Callithrix jacchus: one gene and its partner. The protein of the gene in region 1 interacts with the protein of each later gene in a biochemical or structural test. Links are inferred from orthologs where the notes say so. Each region holds a gene or a part of one and is shown in the gene's direction. Other genes may lie near its edges.

What was found.
Region 2: the proteins of UBE2E2 (region 1) and RNF14 form a complex in vitro, tested with the Homo sapiens proteins (2 studies listed by BioGRID). The link is inferred for Callithrix jacchus from reciprocal best matches to the Homo sapiens genes UBE2E2 and RNF14.

What each region holds. Positions count from the first base shown.
Region 1 is NC_133518.1:61,542,213-61,552,510, forward strand, and holds part of UBE2E2 (ubiquitin-conjugating enzyme E2 E2), read left to right. Parts: intron 1-5,054; 5' UTR 5,055-5,062; coding exon 5,063-5,238; intron 5,239-10,298.
Region 2 is NC_133503.1:40,473,703-40,483,349, forward strand, and holds the end of RNF14 (E3 ubiquitin-protein ligase RNF14), read left to right. Parts: intron 1-2,929; coding exon of another isoform or gene 2,930-2,941; exon of another isoform or gene 2,942-4,402; intron 4,403-5,271; exon of another isoform or gene 5,272-5,395; intron 5,396-6,737; coding exon 6,738-6,851; 3' UTR 6,852-7,126; downstream 7,127-9,647. UniProt on the Homo sapiens protein: E3 ubiquitin-protein ligase that plays a key role in the RNF14-RNF25 translation quality control pathway, a pathway that takes place when a ribosome has stalled during translation, and which promotes ubiquitination and degradation of translation factors on stalled ribosomes.

The sequences.
Region 1 (10,298 bases):
GCCCTTTCTACCCCTCCCCCTCTTTCCCATCCCCCCCCCTTCTGCCTCTTCACTCCCTGTCCTCCTTCTACCCCCTTCCGTTCTCAGTTCCCCATCCTTCCCCACCCTCCCAGCGCCTTCCTTCTCCTGGCCGCATCCTGGAACTAAGTCTTTGCAAAAGTACAGGATAAATGTCACGGTGGAAAGTGCCCGGCTTGATCTTTTGCTATTTTCCCTAATTGCATAATTGCTGCACATGGTGTCTCTCCTGGCGAGTGCCGGGTCTGGCGGCTCCGCCGCCGCACCCCGGTGGCCCGCCCGGAGAAGACCTTGTGGGGTATATTTGTGTGTGTCCTGGTGTGGGGTGTGTGTTGTATTGGTCTTTTGTGATGCCTGGCGCTTGTCACAGTTTGGAACCGAAGCCCATTTTTCTCTGGTCTCTTCTCTGCAGCTCCGCTGGCCTGGTTTGAAACTGGATTCCCTCTGTCCTCTTCCCCTTCTCCCTCCTCCACCCACTTCTCCCCCTCTCTTCTCTCCTCTCTCTGGTAATGTTTTGATCCTTTTGCCCTTTACCATTTCTAATGAAGATAAAGCGTGGCTTCTTGTGGCTTTTTTTTCCCACGACCAACCAGAAATGTCCAATCCATCTTCCGTTAAGGAAATTAAGGTCGCTTTAGAAAGACATCATCCTGTGCTCGGTGGCTGTTAGACCCATTTGCATGTTTCCAAGACTCGTCGTTTTGTATTGTGTGTTCTTGAGAGTCTATTCAAATATTTTTATTTAAAAGTACGAAAGGAAGTGCTAGGGTTTACCCTCAGATTGTCTCGCGGTTCAGAAAGATTTTACGCTCTTCTTAGTATTTAATCCCTGATTCTTTAAAAAGTGTGTTTCTAGATATGTGATAATTCAGTCAAGACTTTGTGAATCTAAATATTTGCCTTTACTACGACAATTTGAATGCACCTTGGCTCTTTGGAGTTCTGTATGTAGGCTGTTGCTTAAAATGGAGTGTTTTCATGTAATGTCATACCCCATTCTCTCTCTCCTGCTGCACCTTTTAACCTCAAATCAGGTGTTCCACTGTTATGTTCTGCATAAATGTCTTTGCAGTTAAATTTAAAGCTGGATATTGCTGTGTGCATATACTGTGTACTATTTTGTTTTATATTTTTGAAAAGTTTAGAAACGTGAGTAGGAAGACAAGATATATATGACAGAATTAAACGCTTTCCTGTTATAAAAGCTCAAGTGAACCCTTGTTTTGCAGTTTCGTACTAGTAGATACTGTTATAAGGCTTATCTGGATGGTAGTCTGAATTTATGGAATGACTGTAGTTGGCTTTATGTAGTCAGTGATACTTCAAGCCAAATCATTTCATTTTTATGGAACATGTGAGTTTCATTCACTGTATGTTGCTAATTTCCAGGACTGTAATTACAACATAGAGTACATAGCTAATACAGGTTTAGTTTGTGTTGAAGAAGGAACAGAAAGTAAGTCTCTTAAAATAGTTTTAGGAAGGACTACCTTACTATTTTATGTTTAAAAATCAAGTTTTACTTTGAGTTATGAAATAAGCATATTAATTTATATATCTCAGTATCTTTGAAACTATCATTGGAGAGTAACTCTTTGTTTCTACCCCTGGGATTTAAGTTTATCTTCCCTGTAGATTAGATAATCGGCTCAGATTAGCTGTTAGGAGTTTATTTTAAAATGCTAATTTAGAAGATAATGTTTAAAGAACTTTAAGTTAGGAATTTTTATTCATTTGTACTTTAGAGAGACATCAATTTTACACTTATGACTAATTAAAATGATTTATAGACTACTTTTTCTTCATGAAAATTTGTTTCACCTGAGTGGTACAACAATTTTTTTCTATACTTTTTCTGTAATCAAGTACTCAAAAAACAAACCCAGGAGAAATTCCTTTTATTAGTAATATTTGAAAAAGAGATGTGAAAACTATTTCTAAAAGTTCCCATAGTGGTTATCAGTGGCCTGAGATGGATTCATCATTTGTAGGTTAACATTTGGATGAAATAAGATATCTTAAGTCAAAAGTGGAAATAATTCTTTTCCTTAATGTAAAACTAGAAATTATGCCTCTTTTGGGGCATTTTTAATAGTATTTTTATTAGTTCTCTAGTGAGACTAATTTTTACTTCAGGCTTCCTTTGATATTTGGCAGTAGTTTATGAAATTTGGGTTTCACATTATGGCTCAGATCGTATCATTGAGTAATCTTTATAAGGAATTATGTAACTATGGCATTATTTGATAGTATGTAAATGCACATAAATAAGAATATTAAGAAGAATGTGTGGCTTTATAACTAATGTGATACACAACTGAAACTCTCAGCATAGTTTATTAAATCTTACTTTATTAAACTGAAGCTGCAGCCTCAGTGTAGAGAATATTATTTCATTGAGGTTCCCATATATTTGTCATGTAATGGATTGCTTGTGGTTTAAAATGTATAAAATGATGTCTCATTTCACAATTCTTAAGGTATTGCTGGCAGCATTTTGCTGTATCTGAGCACCTTTCCCTGAGTATTGTTCTCTTTTTCACTCCCATGCATGCCACCCTATCTGATATGCTATTATGTACATACTTTCAAGGTTTCAAACATCTGATAAAATTTAACTGAAAGAAGTAAGGTGAAAGAAAAACAATGTTAAATCCAAGAATAAGAATTTAGAGTGAAATAAAACTGAAAAAAAGCAAGAAATATGTTACGATTTTTAGAGCTAGCGGTGAAACATACTGATATAAAATTTCAGCATTCTATTAAGTGACTTTAGTGCTCATAAAAGATGTCACAGCTGTAGAGACTGATGCTCTTCATTTACAGAATAGGTAGAAAAGTAGTCAGCTTTTCCGTTAGTGTGTTTCAGAACTGTTGGGGCAGACCTGTTTTTGTTTGGCATGGGGAGCTGTTGTAGTTGAAGGGGTGCTGGTGGTGGTGTATGTGGTGTGTCAGTGAAAGCATTCACTGTTTTCTTTTGACTCTTTGCCTCTCTATGCTTCCTGATGCTTCCATTCTTTTCATTGCTTTCTGATTTGTCTTATAAAAATTTCAATCCATTAAAGATCCATGTTACAACATTGCTTTTGCTTAGAGCAAGCTACAAGTTAAATCTTTGTTAATGATGAATTTTAATTAGTGTCAAATAGCTATCTATTTGGACTAAATTATAGTAATTAAAATTTTTGCTTTATTTGAAGTATTTTTATGTATTCTTATTCTTGATCATATCAGAAACAGTTTTATTTGAACTTCTAATTTGATTAATCAAAAGAATCCATTTCAAAAGGAATTTGTTCAGTGTACCTATAATTTTTAAAGGTGTATTTTGTGTTAATGGTACTTGTTAAGCATAGGTAGTTTTGTTTTCAAAGAGGTGTCTGAGAAGGTAGCTATACAGTGCTCAAAGTGATTATTAGGTGATAAACCGTGGTAAGCACAAGGCCTTTTAGAGTCTGGACATAGGTTTTGTTGGTTCCGTTCTGGATTTGTCAGAATACTCTAAGCTAGTTAGCTCATAAGGGATGTATTCATAGTAATCAAACTCAGAAATTGATTATGATAGAATGGCAGTTGAGAAGAGATATTCCTTTTCACTTACAGGAATTGTGTCTGCTGTCTAGGTTATAACAGCTACCTAAATATCAAGGTATTTCGGAAATTGAGTTGGTAATCAGAGCTGCTCGGGGAGCATGAACTCAGAGGAGAGGGAATTTGAAAGCCTTGAGGAATATTTTAACCGGACTGTGAAAAAAAAAATTCTTCAGCGTCTCCATCTCTTATGAAAAATGGTTGCTTTAGTATACAGCTGAATCAATGCTGACACCATCATACGGTTCAGTTTTTATTTAGAATCATGCAGTCATGTAGACCTTTGTGTTCATCTGTTATTGCAAAGGTCACTTAAAATAATTTACTAGTTTGGAGAATTTTAACCATAACCCAGTGCTGAGGATGTACTGATTTGAATAGGGATTTTTAAGTGTCCACCCATTTTTCTGTTCCCACAGCTTTTTGTACAAACCTTCGTTTTAGTACTTAGCAAGTTGACTGGGCCAGGTTTTTCATAGTTGTAGGACCAAAGGGCTTAGCACAGCACCAGGTAGAGAGTAGACCCTTAATCATTTTTTTCCTATTTTTTATAACAGCATTATTATATGTAATTCATATACCATAAAATTTACCCTTTAAAAATGTAAAACTCTGTAGTTCTTAGAATATTTACAATTAGAATCATGCAATGTTACCATTATCTAATTTAAGAACATTTATATCACCCCAAAGGGAAGTATCATACCCATTAGCAGTCAATCCTCACTACTCTCCCTCCCCTCACTCCCTGGCAACCACTTACCCTCTTTATTTTTTTTATTAATTTTGTTTCCTTTGATACAGGGTATTACTCTGTCACTCAGGCTGGAATGCAGTGATAGTAATCTTTTTTTTTTTTTTTTGGTAGAGATTGAGTCCCACTATGTTGCCCAGGCTGTTCCTGCCTGGGCTTCCCAAAGCATTGGGGATTACAGGCATGAGATCTGCTTACTGAATTTTGTGTTTATGGATTTGCCTAGTCTGGACGTTTCATATAAATAGTCAAACAGTTTGTGGTCCTTTGTGGCTGGCTTCTTTCACTTACGATAATGTTTCAAGGTTCATCCATTTTGTAGCACGTAGACACTGTACTTCATTCTTTTTTATGGCTAATAGTACATTATGTGGATATACTACTACATTTTGTTTATCCATTCATCCCTTAGTGGATATTTGAGTTGTTTCCAATTTTGGTTATTATGAATAATGTCGCTGTGAACATTTCATGTATAAATTTTGTATGCTTTCATTTTACAATATACTTTGAATGGATGAAAGAAAAGTTATAGCAACTCTCAAAACTGCATTGTTTTGTAAATGACCAATTTATCCATTTTATATTGAGATTTACTTGTTTTCTTTGAGGCTCATTCTGTGTGTCATGGAAGTAGCGTACTGTAATTCTCCTCACAGCGGAATAAATGATTTTTGATTCTTTAATCTAGGATCTAAAATGTCCACTGAGGCACAAAGAGTTGATGACAGTCCAAGCACTAGTGGAGGAAGTTCCGATGGAGATCAACGTGAAAGTGTTCAGCAAGAACCAGAAAGAGAACAAGTTCAGCCCAAGAAAAAGGAGGGAAAAATATCCAGCAAAACCGCTGCTAAGTTGTCAACTAGTGCTAAAAGGTACCTCAGTTATTGTAACCTTTTTATTTTTGGTATCAGTTTATCATCTTAAGTTCTACTTTTCTTTTGCATTTAATCATTTTTTCCGGGATATTTAAGCCATGAACTTCATGGATTTTTCTTTCCCCTTACAGACGATCTTTTTTACATGGTTTTAACCATAGGGAACTTAAGTATTTAAAGTCAGTTAAATGGCATGGCAGATTCATAAAATACATATCCATAGTATGTTTGTGTTTTTGTGTATCATTAAGGAAGCATATACAGGATGTGCATGTAAAATTGCAGTGGTTTCATTTACAGTTACTTGACCATAAATTTTTTTTTCCTGTTCAGTAACACAGAATAGAGATTAAGAATCTATTGAAGTAGTTATTGAGTGAATGATAGTTTATTTTCCACTACTCTCAGTTGGTAAAGTCAGAAATGCTGACATTAGCAACAAGTGCATCTTGGTTTCATTACATTAGTCAGTGGGTCTGTCTTGATACACAGTTTCTCTTTCTCTAGAGGAATAGATGGATCTGGAAAGTAGGTATTTGAATGATTTTCTGTTGGTACATCAGTCTCTTAAGATAATTGACATGTCATTGGACTTAAAGGGAATCTGTTTTGATATTGTTACATTATAGAATATCTCTTGGAAAATAATTTGAAAGATAAATATAGTGTCTTTCCTGATTCTGTGATTTTATGTTCTTGCTTTGTTATTGTATGTTTTATATTGATCGAATAGGAAGTACAAATAAAAGTAGTCTAACTTTTAGGCATAGTGGAATGTCAGAATGTTGAATTACAGCTTTATATGTTATTGTATGATGTGGATTAAGGGGAACTCCTTTCTCAAAGATAAAAAAAAAAAACATTATTGGGCCAGGTGCAGTGGCTCAAGCCTGTAATCCCAGCACTTTAGGAGGCTGAGGTGGGTGGATCAAGAGGTCAATAGATTGAGACCATCATGGCCAACATGGTGAAACCCCCTCTCCACTAAAACAATACAAAAAAATTAGCTGGGCCTGATGGCGTGCACCTGTAGTCCTAGCTACCTGGAAGGCTGAGGCAGGAGAATTGCTTGAAACCAGAAAACAGAAGTTTCAGTGAGCCGGGATTGTACCACTGTACTGTAGCCTAGCGATACGGCGAGACTCTGCTTCAAAAAATAAAATAAAATAAAATAAAGCATTATTATAGTTTAGTAGACCTTGTTTCCCTTTGGCTTAGCCAATCAATAGGGTTGGAAAGAACCTTCTCAGATTCCTTGGTGAGAGATGTTGGAGGGATGGTGAAAGGTTATTTAAAGGTACTAGAGTATTCTGTTTCCCTTTCCTGGGAGTGTATTGCTGATCCCTGACCTCTATCGAAGGAGCTGTGTGAAAGCCCTGAATTTAAACTTTTAGTCCTGTATGCTAGAACATGCTAGGGTAGGGAAGAGGGCTCAGTTTGTTTTGCCATCACACCGCAAGTACGAGGGACTCAGCTACCTGACTCTTGTATTGCCTGACCACAACACAAATAAGCTGCTTAGAGGTGACCTGGGAAATGGAGGGTGGGGTTAGGATGGATAAAAAAGGTGGGGAATAGAGAAAATAGGACATTTAGATGAAAGGAGGAGGTTGATGTGGGTGGGTAGATGTTCAGGTACAGATCGTAATTACATGTAGTTTAGGAAAATCTAATTCAGTCCTGAGCGTCTTTAGTCTGTCAGAAAAGGGTAAGGACTGGTTGGCCAGGTCTGTGGGGAATAGGGTTCTGCTGGGCCTATGCTTTGTTCTATGACTGCTAGTTAGCAAAGTCACCTGTTTTGGAGAGGCTCTGCCTTTTCCCCTACCTGGGAGCACCACTATAAAATACCTCAGAATCATATTTCTTGGGTGATAAGTCAAAGACCAAATTCTGCTTATGAAAGATGTACTGCTTAAGAGTTTTTCAAGTATGTGGGTCTTCATTGTACTACAGTTATCTGTAGAAAGTATAGATTATGCAAACCTAATGATAGATTTCATGAGGGAAACATATAGAAGGTTTTTTTTTTTGCATTGTCAAAAAAATACGTCAGATCTAAGACCTAGTTTAGAGATAATGTATGTGCAGAGCCTAGAACAGTGCCTGATTGGCAGTAAATAGAAAGTGGTTGTATTACGTTGATCAAAGTAAGAAGTCTCTTTTGAGTTGTTGCTTCCTGGCTGAAAGAATCCCTCTGTTTGCAAATTCTTGTTAATCTGTGATTTTCAAATTGTGGTTCATGATCTTTCTCTAGAAAGATCTTCAGTTGGTTTTTGGGTGACAGTGTATGAAGTGATATAATAATTTACTATTTATTTTAAATATAAAAATGTGGCTTCACTACTGTTTTTTTTTGAGACGGAGACTCACTCCTGTCGTGCCGGCTGGAGTGGAGTGACACGATCTTGGCTTACTGCCACCTCCACCTCCCACGTTCAAGTGATTCTCCTTCCTCAGCCTCCTCAGTAGTTGGGATTACAGGCGTGCACCACCATGCCTGGCTAATTTTTGTATTTTTGGTAGAGATGGGGTTTTGCCATGTTGGCTAGGCTGGTCTTGAATTACTGACCTCAGGTGATCCACCTGCTTCAGCCTTTCAAAGTGCTAGGATTACAGGCGTGAGCCATCACACCTGGACCACTACTAATGTTTTAATTAAAAAAAATAATATTCTCCCCTCTCTCTTCCTCCAATTCAGTTGACAGTGAAGTTATTAGTTCTTTCCCATTTCTGCTTAAATTCTAAGCACTTAGGAAAAAACTTGGGAATTATGAGGGCAGAGGACTCCCCATCTTTTAGGTTCACTGTCATATCCGTAGTGCCTAGCAGAGTATGGTCACAATATTTATTTACTGATTGCCTTGGAACCCTGAGCTTATTATAGGAATTGGATTCATGAATATTAGGATCTTGGTACTAGTGTGTTCAGAAGATTAAAAGTTAGAGGTAGTTTCAAAATAACTTTTATTTCATACTTTTTGTTGATGATCATTTTTATTTAGATGAAAAGTCTTTCGCAAATAGTGTCATTTAATGAGTAGCATTGAAGAGCTTGAACTCTAGAGACAGGATCTACGTTTGAATCTAGGTTCTAGCATTTAGTAGCTGTAGCTCTGTGGTCTTTTCCTCTTTCTTTTTCTTGATTTTTTTTTTTGAGGCAGAGTCTTGCTCTGCCACCCAGGCTAGAGTGCAGTGGTATGATCTCCAATTCTTGGGCTCATTCAGTCCTGCATCAGCCTCCCAAGTAGCTGGGATTACAGCGATGTGGCACTTTTGAGGCAGAGTCTTGCTCTGTCTCCCAGGCTGCAGTGCAGTATATTATCTCCAACTCCTGGGATCACTTAGTCCTGTTGCCGCAGTCTCCCAAGTAGCTGGGATTACAGGGGTATGTCACCACACCAGGCTAAAGTTTTAATGTATATTTTGTTGGGATGAGAGTCTCACTATGTTGCCCAGGCTGGCCTTGAACTCGTGGTTGCAAGTGATCTCTCAAAGTGTTGGAATTACAGGCGTGAGCCACTGTGCCTAGCCTCTGCGATCCTGATGTATGATTACAGCTCTGAGCCTCAATTTCTTCTTTCTTAGAAGGAAGATGATAATGGTACACTCTTCACAAGTTTCTTGTGAGGACTAAATATGATAAAGCACTTATTTGGCACATAGTAAGCTCTCACAAATGCTGTCACTAATAGACTTAAAGTCTATAATGATATTTTTCAAGTCTATTTGGAACAAACTTTGGAAAAATGAGGTATATGTTAACCTTCAAGACCTTAATGCTATTGTTAAACTAGAAATACTGTAATTAAATGCATTTTGTAGTGACTTAGGACAAGTGCTTGCATGTAGGTGCTCAGTTACAATATGAAATATACTGTAATTGTAGAATTAATAATTGCTATAATATGGTAATTGTAGAATCAATAAGCTGGTTTAGAAATATGATTTCTTGAAAAATCTCACATTTGTGATATTACAGAATAGTGATATACAGAAAACATTTAAGTATTTAAACAGTAGTAGAATTTAATTTCTGTCTCGGAGTTAAGAGGAAAGATTACAGTTACATCTTTGATGCATTTTTGCTTTCCTTTGGCAAGAATTTGTTTCTTAAAAAATTGTCATGCTCTTATCACAGCCTGTTCTCTTGATATATCTATATCACTCTTGTTATATTTGCAAGTATGTGGTTGGACCATATTTGCAGTGACAGATTTAGATGATTTTGATTAAATTGACTAGTCAGTTCAATAAAACATCTATTTTGAGATCTTCATTGAATTTATTCTGCTGCTCTTTTTATGGGTTGACACATCTGTAAATGTGAATTTTAAATCATATTTATTCTAAATTAACTTTGTTGAGAATAGGCATGGTGATTTTATTTTTAGACACTCAATATGATACTGTTCAAGGTATAGTTTTTGGTTTTAGACTCTACCTTTTTCTTAGTTGAAAGATTAATTTTACTGTATTCCAGTTTGAACTTTTATTATATGGGCTCATCTAAGTTTGTTTTCCACATGAGAGTGAAATAGTACTTTTATAGATACTCTTTTTGTAATTACCATATTTTCTTCAATCTAAATGTACATTTTAAAACTTTTTAACGTTTCTGAAATTGGGACACATCTTAAAGTTGATGTGCACAATTATCGATGGTTTGTCTTAAAAATCAATGATCTTTTAGAGTCATAGATACACAGTATATACCACCATTCAGAATTAAACTCTAGACTTCTTATTTGCAATGGCAATGTGTTTTCTAAAGATGGCTTTGACATTTAAAAAAATTTTAATAATTAGTTACATGATGCTTTCTTGAGAATAAGTTCATTTTGGAAGGTTTCGCTAGGTGATTCAATTGATTAGAATAGGGTTTCTTAGGTGACTGAGGAATATAGTCTGTAAGGAAATACAGAAAGTTATCTAGATGAGATGAAGGGTTTTAAGAAATTACTGCTAAGAAATCACTTTGAATCTACATAGCCACACACTCGTGTTCTCCTTGGCTCTGAGTAAATTTTTGAATATCTTTAACCAAAATATATGTATGT
Region 2 (9,647 bases), on another chromosome or scaffold:
TCACAGGCGAAAGCTGCCTTTCGCCCCGACTTCCGGCAGCGCAGGCGAGGGAGCGAGACACTTGCTCATTGGCTGCTGCCGAGCACCTAGGGGCCGGCTCTGAGCGCGCTTGTCCGGCTGTTGCGGATCTGCTTACATTTAGGACTGTAGTTACTGCAGCGGGGCTGTCGCCGACTGGCCGATATTCAGAACGTGTGTATGATTGGAAGTTCTCTCTAATTAACGGTGGCTCCTGTGTTAGACTTGGGACTTCTGCCAAAGAACAGTGTTTTCCGTTCCCGAAGAAGAAAATAAGTACCCTTAATTCTCAGACTTCCCTTCATCCCTCAGCCGAACCTGCATGAAACCAGAAAGGTATTGTCCAAATTTTTATGGAGATACGCTTTTCAGCTAGTGTTGCCATTTAGGTGATTTAATTTAGGTGCCAATTACTGTGGAGGAAAAGCAGCTCCGATGGCTCACACCTTTAATCCCAGCTTTTTGAAAGGCCTAGGTGGGCAGATCACCTGAGGTCAGGAGTTCAAGATCAGCCTGGCCAACACGGTGAAACCCCATCTTTACTAAAAATTCAAAAATTAGCCGGGTAGTAGTGGTGCGCACCTATAATTCCAGCTACTCGGGAGGCTGAGGCAGGAGAATCACTTCAACCGATGGGGCGGAGGTTGCAGTGAGCCGAGATCATACCACTGTACTCTAGCCTGGGCGACACAACGAGACTCTGTCTCAAAAAAAGAAAAAAGCTGAACACAGGACATTCAAGGAGTCCTGACAAAGTCAAGGTGGACAAAATACAGGATGTACCCTGCGTATATAGGCAATATATTCCCTCTCCATGGGGAAAGTGAGAGGGAAAGGGAAGGAAAGTCCCATACCCAACAGAAAGAAATCTAAGTCCTTTGTCCTTCTGGAAGGGCATCCATGGTATCCCGGCTTGTTAAAGAAAAAGATTGGAACAACCTAAATATCTGTCAATCAGGGACTGATTGAATAGTTTTGCACATCTGTAAAATGGAATGCAATACAGCTACTAAAAAGGAGCCAGTTCCATAAACTGATAGGAGGACGACCACAATAGTTAGATAAATTTTAAAAAGCAAGATACAGAACTCTGTGTATAACATGTCTGCTAAAACATGAGGCTCAGGAGGTAAGACTAAATATATGTTCCTGCATGCATTGACTGTTTCTAGAAGAATGTTAAACAGGTCTCATTGATCTCCTTGGGGGAAGGGAGCTAAAAGGCAGCAAGTGGAGGGAGTCTTCCTTTTTATGGCATATCCTTTTGATACTGTTTTGGTTTCTTTATTCTCTGTGATGAATTATATATATTAAACGATTTTAATTATCCTATAGAGAGAGAGAGAAAGAGAGACATTTTATTACAAGGAATTGGCTGACATTATTGTGGGAGTTGGCAAGGCAGTTCTTGAAGTCCATAGGTCAGGCTGTGATGAAGGCAAGTGGGAATTCTTGGGCATGAACTGAAGCTGCTGTCCACAGGAAGAATTTCTTCTTCTGGGAAACTTCAGCCCTTCTCTTCTAAGGCCTTTCAACTGATTGAATCAGGCCCACATAGATTATTTTCGACAATCTCTTATTTCCCTCCCTCCTTTCCTTCCTTATTTCCCTTCCCTTTCCTTTCCCTTCCTTTTCCCTTCCCTTTCCCTTTTCCTTTCCCTTTTTCCCTTCCCTTTCTTTTCCCTTTTCACTTCCCTTCCTTTTCCCTTCCCTTCCCTTTCCCTTTCCCTTCCCTTCCCCCTCCCTCTCCCCTTCCCCTTCCTCTTCCCCTCCCCTTCCTTTTCCTCTTCCCCTTCCCTTTCCCCTTCCCCTTCCCTTTATTTTTTTGAGATAGAGTCTCACTCTGTCACCCAGGCTGGAGCACAGTGTCATGATCTTGGCACACTGCAACCTTTACCTCCTGGGTTCAAGCAGTCCTCCCACCTCAGCCTCCCAAGTAGCTGGGACCACAGGCATGTGCCACCATGCCCTGCTAATTTTTTGTATTTTTTCTAGAGACAGAGTTTCACCATGTTGCCCAGGCTGGTGTTGAACCCCTGGACTCCAGCAATCCACCTGTCTTGGCCTCTCAGAGTGCTGGGATTACAGGTGTGATCCCCCATGCTCGGCCTCTATTTCCTAAAGTTAGCTGACTATAGACTTTAATCATATCTACAAAATAACCTTCACAGCAACAACTAAATTACTGTTTGATTGAATAACTGAGGACTGTATCCTAGACAAGTTAACATGTAAAACTGACCCTCAACCTATATTAGTCATTCTTCACTGCATGACAAATTATTCTAAAATTTAGTGCCTTAAAACAACATCATCTTAAAGTCGCTGCAGGTTAGGAATCTAGGTGCAGTTTAGCTGGGTCTTCCCCGCCCACAACCCACCCCCTCCCCCGGCTTTTTTATTTATTTTTTTATTTTTTGCAGAGACAGGATCTTACTTTGTTGCCCAGGCTGGTCTCCTGGTTTCAAGCGATCCTCCTGCCTCAGTCTTCCTGCTTCAGCCTCCCAAAATACTGGGATTACAGGATTGAGCTGTCACACCTGGCCCCTATCTAGGTCTTTTTTTAAAAAAAAAGAAAAAACAACGGAGTTTTGCTCTTATTGCCCAGGCTGGAGTGCGGGGGTGTGATCTCAGCTCATTGCAACTTCCATCTATCTCCTGGGTTCAAGCAATTCTCCTGCCTCAGGCTCCCAAGTAGCTGGGATTACAGGCGCGTGCCACCACACCCAGCCAATTTTGTCTCCTGGTTTCTGCTTTATTTGTTGTTCCTAGTATAAGAAAAAAAGCAACCTTGATGTTATTGCACACATTATAGGCTGGAACACACACAGCATTCTTGACTGTTCTGGAGGGCTGCCTTTAATTGTCTTGACAGCATATTTACTATTTCCCCATTGTATATAATCCTTAGGTCTGGGAGTAACAGATCTACCTGTCTTGTGGCCACCCAAGACCACGCTTCTGTCTGTAAGTTACCTCAGCAGATTATCCTTCACCACCAAGCTGGATTTGTCAGCCTCCTTTGGTTTCTTGGCTTCTTTGGTATTTGGGGGTCTCTCTGCATATCTGGCCCTTTTGCAGAACACTGGCTCACTCACATGTTTATTGGTAGGATTCAGTTTCTCATGAGCTGTCTGCTGGAGGCTTCCCTTGGTCCTTGCCACAGAGGCCTCTCCGCAGAACATCTCACAACATGGCAGCTTATTTTCTCAGAATAAGCAAGAGACTTTTAATTACTTTGAAAACAATGAATTTAGAAAAAAATCAAATGTGTGGGCTGGGCATGAACAAGAGGCATGGATAGATTTGCAGGTGGGGACAGGATGTTTCCGAGCCTGGTGACCCTTCTGCAGGTGGGTGGACCTCTGTGCCTGGCTGATCAGCTGTGTGGGATGCTTCCCACATCTCTAAGTCTCTTCCATATCATACCGAACACAAGAAACAGCCTGGGTGGAAATGGGGGAAGTCCTAATCCCAGAGGGGAGCAGTGTCATCCCACCTAGCAAATGACTGAGAAGAAGAGCTCATGGTAAATGTGCTTAGCTTCACAAGCTGCCAAAGGGCACAGGAACCACTGATCATTCTGTGTAGAATTCATCTCCTGGGAGCTCCCTACTGCTGATGGACATAAACACCCAGGAGGGGGTCTCTGGAGTTTCCTTGGGATTTCATCACAAGAAGACTCCTCTTTGGGGAGTCAGCTTGCTTTGAAGGTAACTGCTCCTTTCCTGCCAAAAACAGTTACCTGAAGCACAGAATGTATTACAGAGAGGTACTATGGTAAACACTGGTGAAAATGGAGGGGTTGGGAGCAGCAGAACCCACTGTACCCTCATCCCAGCAGCTGATACTGAACACTTTCTGTGTCTTAGGGATGGTTCCAAGTGCTTTCACACATTATCATTTCACTTCACCTGTGAAGTAGGCACTGTGTTTCCAATTTTCTTGATGAGAAAACTTGCACAGACAGGTTTATAAATCACCCAAGGTCACCAAGTGGATAAGTGGCTGACCTGGGGTTTGAACTCAGCTGCCTGTACTCCCAGCCATTTGACCATACTGCCTCCAGGAGAGGGCTTCTCTCCAGCACAGCCTAAAAACGAATGAAAAATACCAGCATTCATTGAGTCCTTATTGTGTTTCCCAGGGCTAGGAGAAATGCCATGGGAAACATTTGGTGTTTCTGAGTGGCAGGGTGGCTCCTGGAGTGTGAATTTTGTGTGTATGTAAAATATACATAACATCAAATGTACTATTTAAGCCATTTTAAATGTACAGTTCAGTGGCTTTAAGATTTTTGTATTATTGAGGTGAAATTCATGTAACATAGAGATGTTAAAATTTTTAAATTTTAAATTAAAAAAAATTTCAATTAATTTTAAAATAAGGCCATTTAAAAATTTTTATTTTTTTGTTTGTAGTTTTTTTGTAGATACAGGGTCTCCCTATCTTTGCCCAGGCTGGTCTCAAACTCCTGGGCTCAATCAATCCACCCGTCTCGGCCTCCCAAAGTGCTGAGATTATAGGTGTGAGCCGCCACATCTGACCAAAATATTAGCCATTTTAACGTGAACTAGTTGGGGGCATTTAGGACTTTCACGGTATTGCACAGCCACCACTTTGGAAAGTTCAAATACTTTCATTACCCCAAAAGGAAGCTCTGTACCTAATAAGCAGTTTCTCCCTATTCCCTCTCCCTCCTGTCCTGGTAACCACCAGTCAGTGTTCTGTCTCTATGGATCTACCTATTTTGGATATTTTATATAACTTGAATCATAAAATATGTGACCTTTTGTGTCTAACTTCTTTTACTTGAAGTACTTTTGAGGTTCATCCACATCATGTATCAATACTCCTTTTTTATGACTGCATAATATTTTCTTGTGTGATATATATACAATTTATCCATTCATCCATTGACGGGGATTTGGGCTGTTTCTACCTTTAGGCTATTGCAAATAGTGCTGCTATGAACATGTGTGTACATGTACTTATTTGAGTAGCTGCTTTAAACTCTTTTGGGGGGTACTTAGGAGTGGAATTGCTGGGTTATATAGCAATTCTTTTTTGTTTGTTTATTTTTGGTTTTTGGGATAGAGTCTTGCTCTGTCACCAGGCTGGAGTGCAGTGGCGCAACCTCGGCTCACTGCAACCTCCACCTCCCAGGTTCAAATGTTTCCTCTGCCTCAACCTCCTGAGTAGCTGGGACTACAGCCACGTGCCACCATACCCAGCTAATTTTTTGTATTTTAGTAGAGATGGGTTTCACCATGTTGGCCCGGATGGTCTAGATCTTCTGACCTCGTGATTCGCCCACCTCGGCCACCCAAAGTGCCAGGATTACAGGCATGAGACACTGCGCCCGGCCAATTATATGGTAATTCAACATTTAACTTTTTGAGGAGTCACCAAATTGGTAGGTGACATTTTGACATTAAAATCTTTCATTGGGACCTTGATTATGAATAAGAGAAGTATGTGTGGTATAGTGAAGATGCAGACTGGCCTGGTTTTGAATTTCTTCTTTACCACTTGTTAATAGCATGTGCATAGCTTAGTCATGAGTCTCTTTGAGGCTCAGTTTTCTTATCTGTAGAAATGGAGATGTTGATAACAATCATTCATTCATTCATTCATTCATTCATTCATTGAATCTGTCGAGGGCTCACTGTGGGCCAGGCACTGGAGATATAGTGAGAATTCATAGAGTTTACAGAATGAGGGGTCAGGAGAGAAAGGGAAGGGCCCAAGGGTTAATTATTTTGGAAAGGGAAAAATTATTTTGTCATGGGAGTAATCACTCCCTGACATCATAGGTACACAGTGAGTACACCAGTGGGCCCGCACGTTATTCCTCTCTATCCCAGCACCAAATACAAGACCTACAAAAACAGATATGTTATTTAGGGTTCTGGGGTTGTAAGCAATAGAAACTGACTAGCTCAGTTTAACAAGGATTACTAGGAAATGATTGGGATCGCTCCAGAATCAAAAGAAGAGCTAAACAATCCTCAGGGAGGCCCTGAAGAGCCCAGGCAGTGACAGGAATTTCAGTGACAACTGTTTGTGGCCCAGCCTCTCTCGGGGCTCTTCCTTAGATAGCCTGCTCCAACCTTTGCCTCCCACCTGAGAGTCTCCTGCCCTAGTTCCCAATGTCTGATTGCCCCAGCTCAGGGCACATGGGGCAGGGCTGCTGCCTATAATTGCAATTAGGCTTTGTAAACTTCAGGGGTTACTCATCATAGTCATCAGAGGTTTGAACACTCATTGTGACAATTTTCTAGTAAATAGCACTAAAGTGTCTTGAGGAAAGATGTCTTTGTTCAAAGTCACAGTTGGGGCAAAAAGAGTAAAACTCTACCTGGGACTGAAAGTGAAAATCAACTTGTCCTGGAAAAGAAACAGCAGGTTAAGAGGACAGAAAAGTTAAAGCCACCTACAAAGCCTGCAAGAAACCTTGTTCCTCCCAAAGTCATGTAGTGGCTGTGAAATGCTATAAGGACCCTCTGAAAGTGGCCACTGCTCTCTTTGCTAGGACCGAGGACAAAGGCAGAGGCATGCTTTGCTATTCTCATCTAATACTGGGGATAACCAACTGCTCAGCCACCCTGGCCTCATGACAATGCTCAATCCCTGGTTAATCCTTGCTCCTCTTAATCCCTTATCCAAAACAGCATCCAATCCAGAACTGATTCCTGCTTTCCTTCAACCCTCTTTAGAATCCTTGGGCAGGAACCCACATCTTGCAAGAAAGCTGCCCTCCTTCTGGAGATCTTCCGGAGTGCCCCACCTCACTGCTTGGAGACAAGAAATCTGATTTCGTCAGACTGTAGGCTCATTCCTGGTGGTCTCTGGCTGATCAAGTTTTAAAAAACCTGTCAGGGATTGGAATAGAGGATTGTGATTGGCAGTCCCACCAGAACAATGGGATGGGGGTAGGCAGTTCCCCAAAGGAAAATGGAGTGCTGTCATCAGGAAAAGGTAAAGGTATTGAGCATCCAGACCCAATGGACAGCTCTTGGAGTAGGTGCTCAGTTAATGCTAATTGTTATTTGTGAGGTTGTGTTTTGGAGACACTACAGCAAATTATATAAAATTATAATTATAATAATGCATAATAATGATTATTTGCCATGTGCCAGGCACGGTATGTCTACTACCTCATTTGATTCTTAGCAAACTCACACTTACTTTATAGGTCTCCCCAGTTTCCAGGACATGCTATCTGTGTAGGGAGAGTCATCCAGCCTCAGTGCTGGTGATGTCCCACTCATCAAAGGGACACAAAGAAAAGATGGCAGGTTGCTGTCATCTCAGGATACCATTTCGGTATCTAGGCCAGCCTGACAGCGCTCCTTGATCCCTGTGGATCTCCGTGTGGCCATGTGAAGTCCAAAGTGGCTTCAGCCCCAACTCAGTCTGCTTCAGGGCAGGAACCCATGCTCTGCTCTGGCAGCACTAACGACAATAATAATCACTAAAAACACTTAGAGGCTGTTTTACTACCTGCCAAGGACTGTGCTAAGAGCTTTCCATGTGTCATCTCATTTAACAGATGAGGAAACTGAGGCCTGAAGATGTTCCTTATGAAGGTCACACGGTTGATAAATGACAGAGCCAGGACTCGAATCAGAAGCTATCTAGAGCTCATAGGCTAAACCACAGGCTGTATTGCTCGGCTGATCTGTGACCACCTGTAAATGCAGCCTCTTAATAGCTTTTACTTGTTATGTGCACATTTATATGTGAATATATATATATATATATATATATATATATTTTGAGGTGGAGTCTCGCTCTGTCACTCAGGCTGGAGTGCAGTGGCTCAATCTTGGCTCATTGGAACTTTCGCCTCCTGAATTCTTGCAATTCTCTTGCCTCAGCCTCCCGAGTAGTGGGATTATGAGCACGCACCGCCATGCCCGGCTAATTTTTTGCATGTTAGTAGAGACAGGGTTTCATCGTGTTGCCCAGGCTGGTCTCAAACTCCTGACCTCAGGCAATCTGCCTGCCTTGGCCTCTCAAAGTGCTGGGATTACAGGCATAAGCCACCATGCCCGGCCATGTGAATGTATTTTTAAGTGAATTAATGTATAAAGCCTAATTAGCACAAGGACTTGCTCATGAGACTGTTGTTATTATTGTTATTATTATTATTATTTTTTTTTAAGATGGGGTTTCACCACATTGAATTCCCGACCTCAGGTGATCCGCCCGTTTTGGCCTCCAATGTGCTTGGATTACTGGCGTGAGCCACCATGCCTGGCCTATTATTTTTATTATTTTGAGATGGGGTATCACTCTTGTCACCCAGGCTGGAGTACAGTGGCACAATCATGGCTCACTGCAGCCTCGACCTCCTGGGCTCAAGTGATCCTTCCATCTCAGCCTCCCAAGTAGCTAAGACCACAGGCATGCACCATACCTGGCTAATTTTTCTTTTTTTTACTTTTGTAGAGATAGAGGAGGTCTTACTATATTAACCTAAGTTGGTCTCAAACTCTGAGCTCAAGCACTCCTCCTACCTTGCTTCTCAAAGTGCTGGGATTATAGGCATAAGCCACCATGTCTAGACAAGACTGTCATTATTATTTCAATTACAAATGAATGTGTTCTTGACAAGTGTATAAGTCAAATCCTATTCTGTTTGTAACTTTAGCTTGATTCCCATTTCATCTTCATTGCTCAGCAATGCACAGTTCACCACAGCTCTTAAATGCTCTCTATCTCTCCCCTGAACATCTGCCAGACTGCTCCCTTGCACGCTTAATATGGCAAACACAGGCAAGTTTCTGAAAAATAAGAGCATCTCTTAGCAAATTCTTTAGGGAAGGAAAGAATCCTGTTGTCATGGGATATATGTCCTCACCCTCTAATTTTTCTGTTCATAATCTCAGGAATCCTCTCCAGGATTTGAGGATCAAAACATGGAACAGAGTCTATGACCACTGTTCCACACACTAGGAAAAGCCCGGGGAGTCTTTTTGTCACTGACAGTAGCCAGCATGGCTCAGACTGTGGGCTCTGGCCATCAGCAACACCTTCCTTGTGGGCATCTGGGTAAAGATGCAGGCTCCAGGGTCCACCTTGACTTACTGGGGCCATGTCTCAAGGATGGTGCCTATGACTCTGCATTTTTAGCACATTTCCTAAGCTATAGTCTTATTCTAACATTAAGGGGAGGAACCTGGGGCAGGACTGCAATCACCATTAGAGGTGCGAGTATGTTTACAAAGTGCCTCATAGATTACTGCCTTTCTGTAACTGGAGCCAGGTTTGTCTGCTCTACTCTGCATTCAAACACCAAGCACCACCAGGTGCAGTGGCTCACGCCTGTAATCCCAGCACTTTGGGAGGCTGAGGTGGTGGATCACCTGAGATCAGGAGTTCAAGACCAGCCTGGCCAACATGGTGAAACCCCATCTCTACTAAAAATGCAAAACTTAGCTGGGTGTGGTGGTGGGTGCCTGTAATCCCGGCTACGCAGGAGGCCGAGGCAGGAGAATTGCTTGAAACCAGGAGACAGAGGTTGCAGTGAGCTGAGATCACCACTGTGCTCCAGCCTGGGCAACAGAGCAAGACTCCATCTCAAAAAAAAAAAAAAAAAAAAAGCCAAACATAAGAGGTGA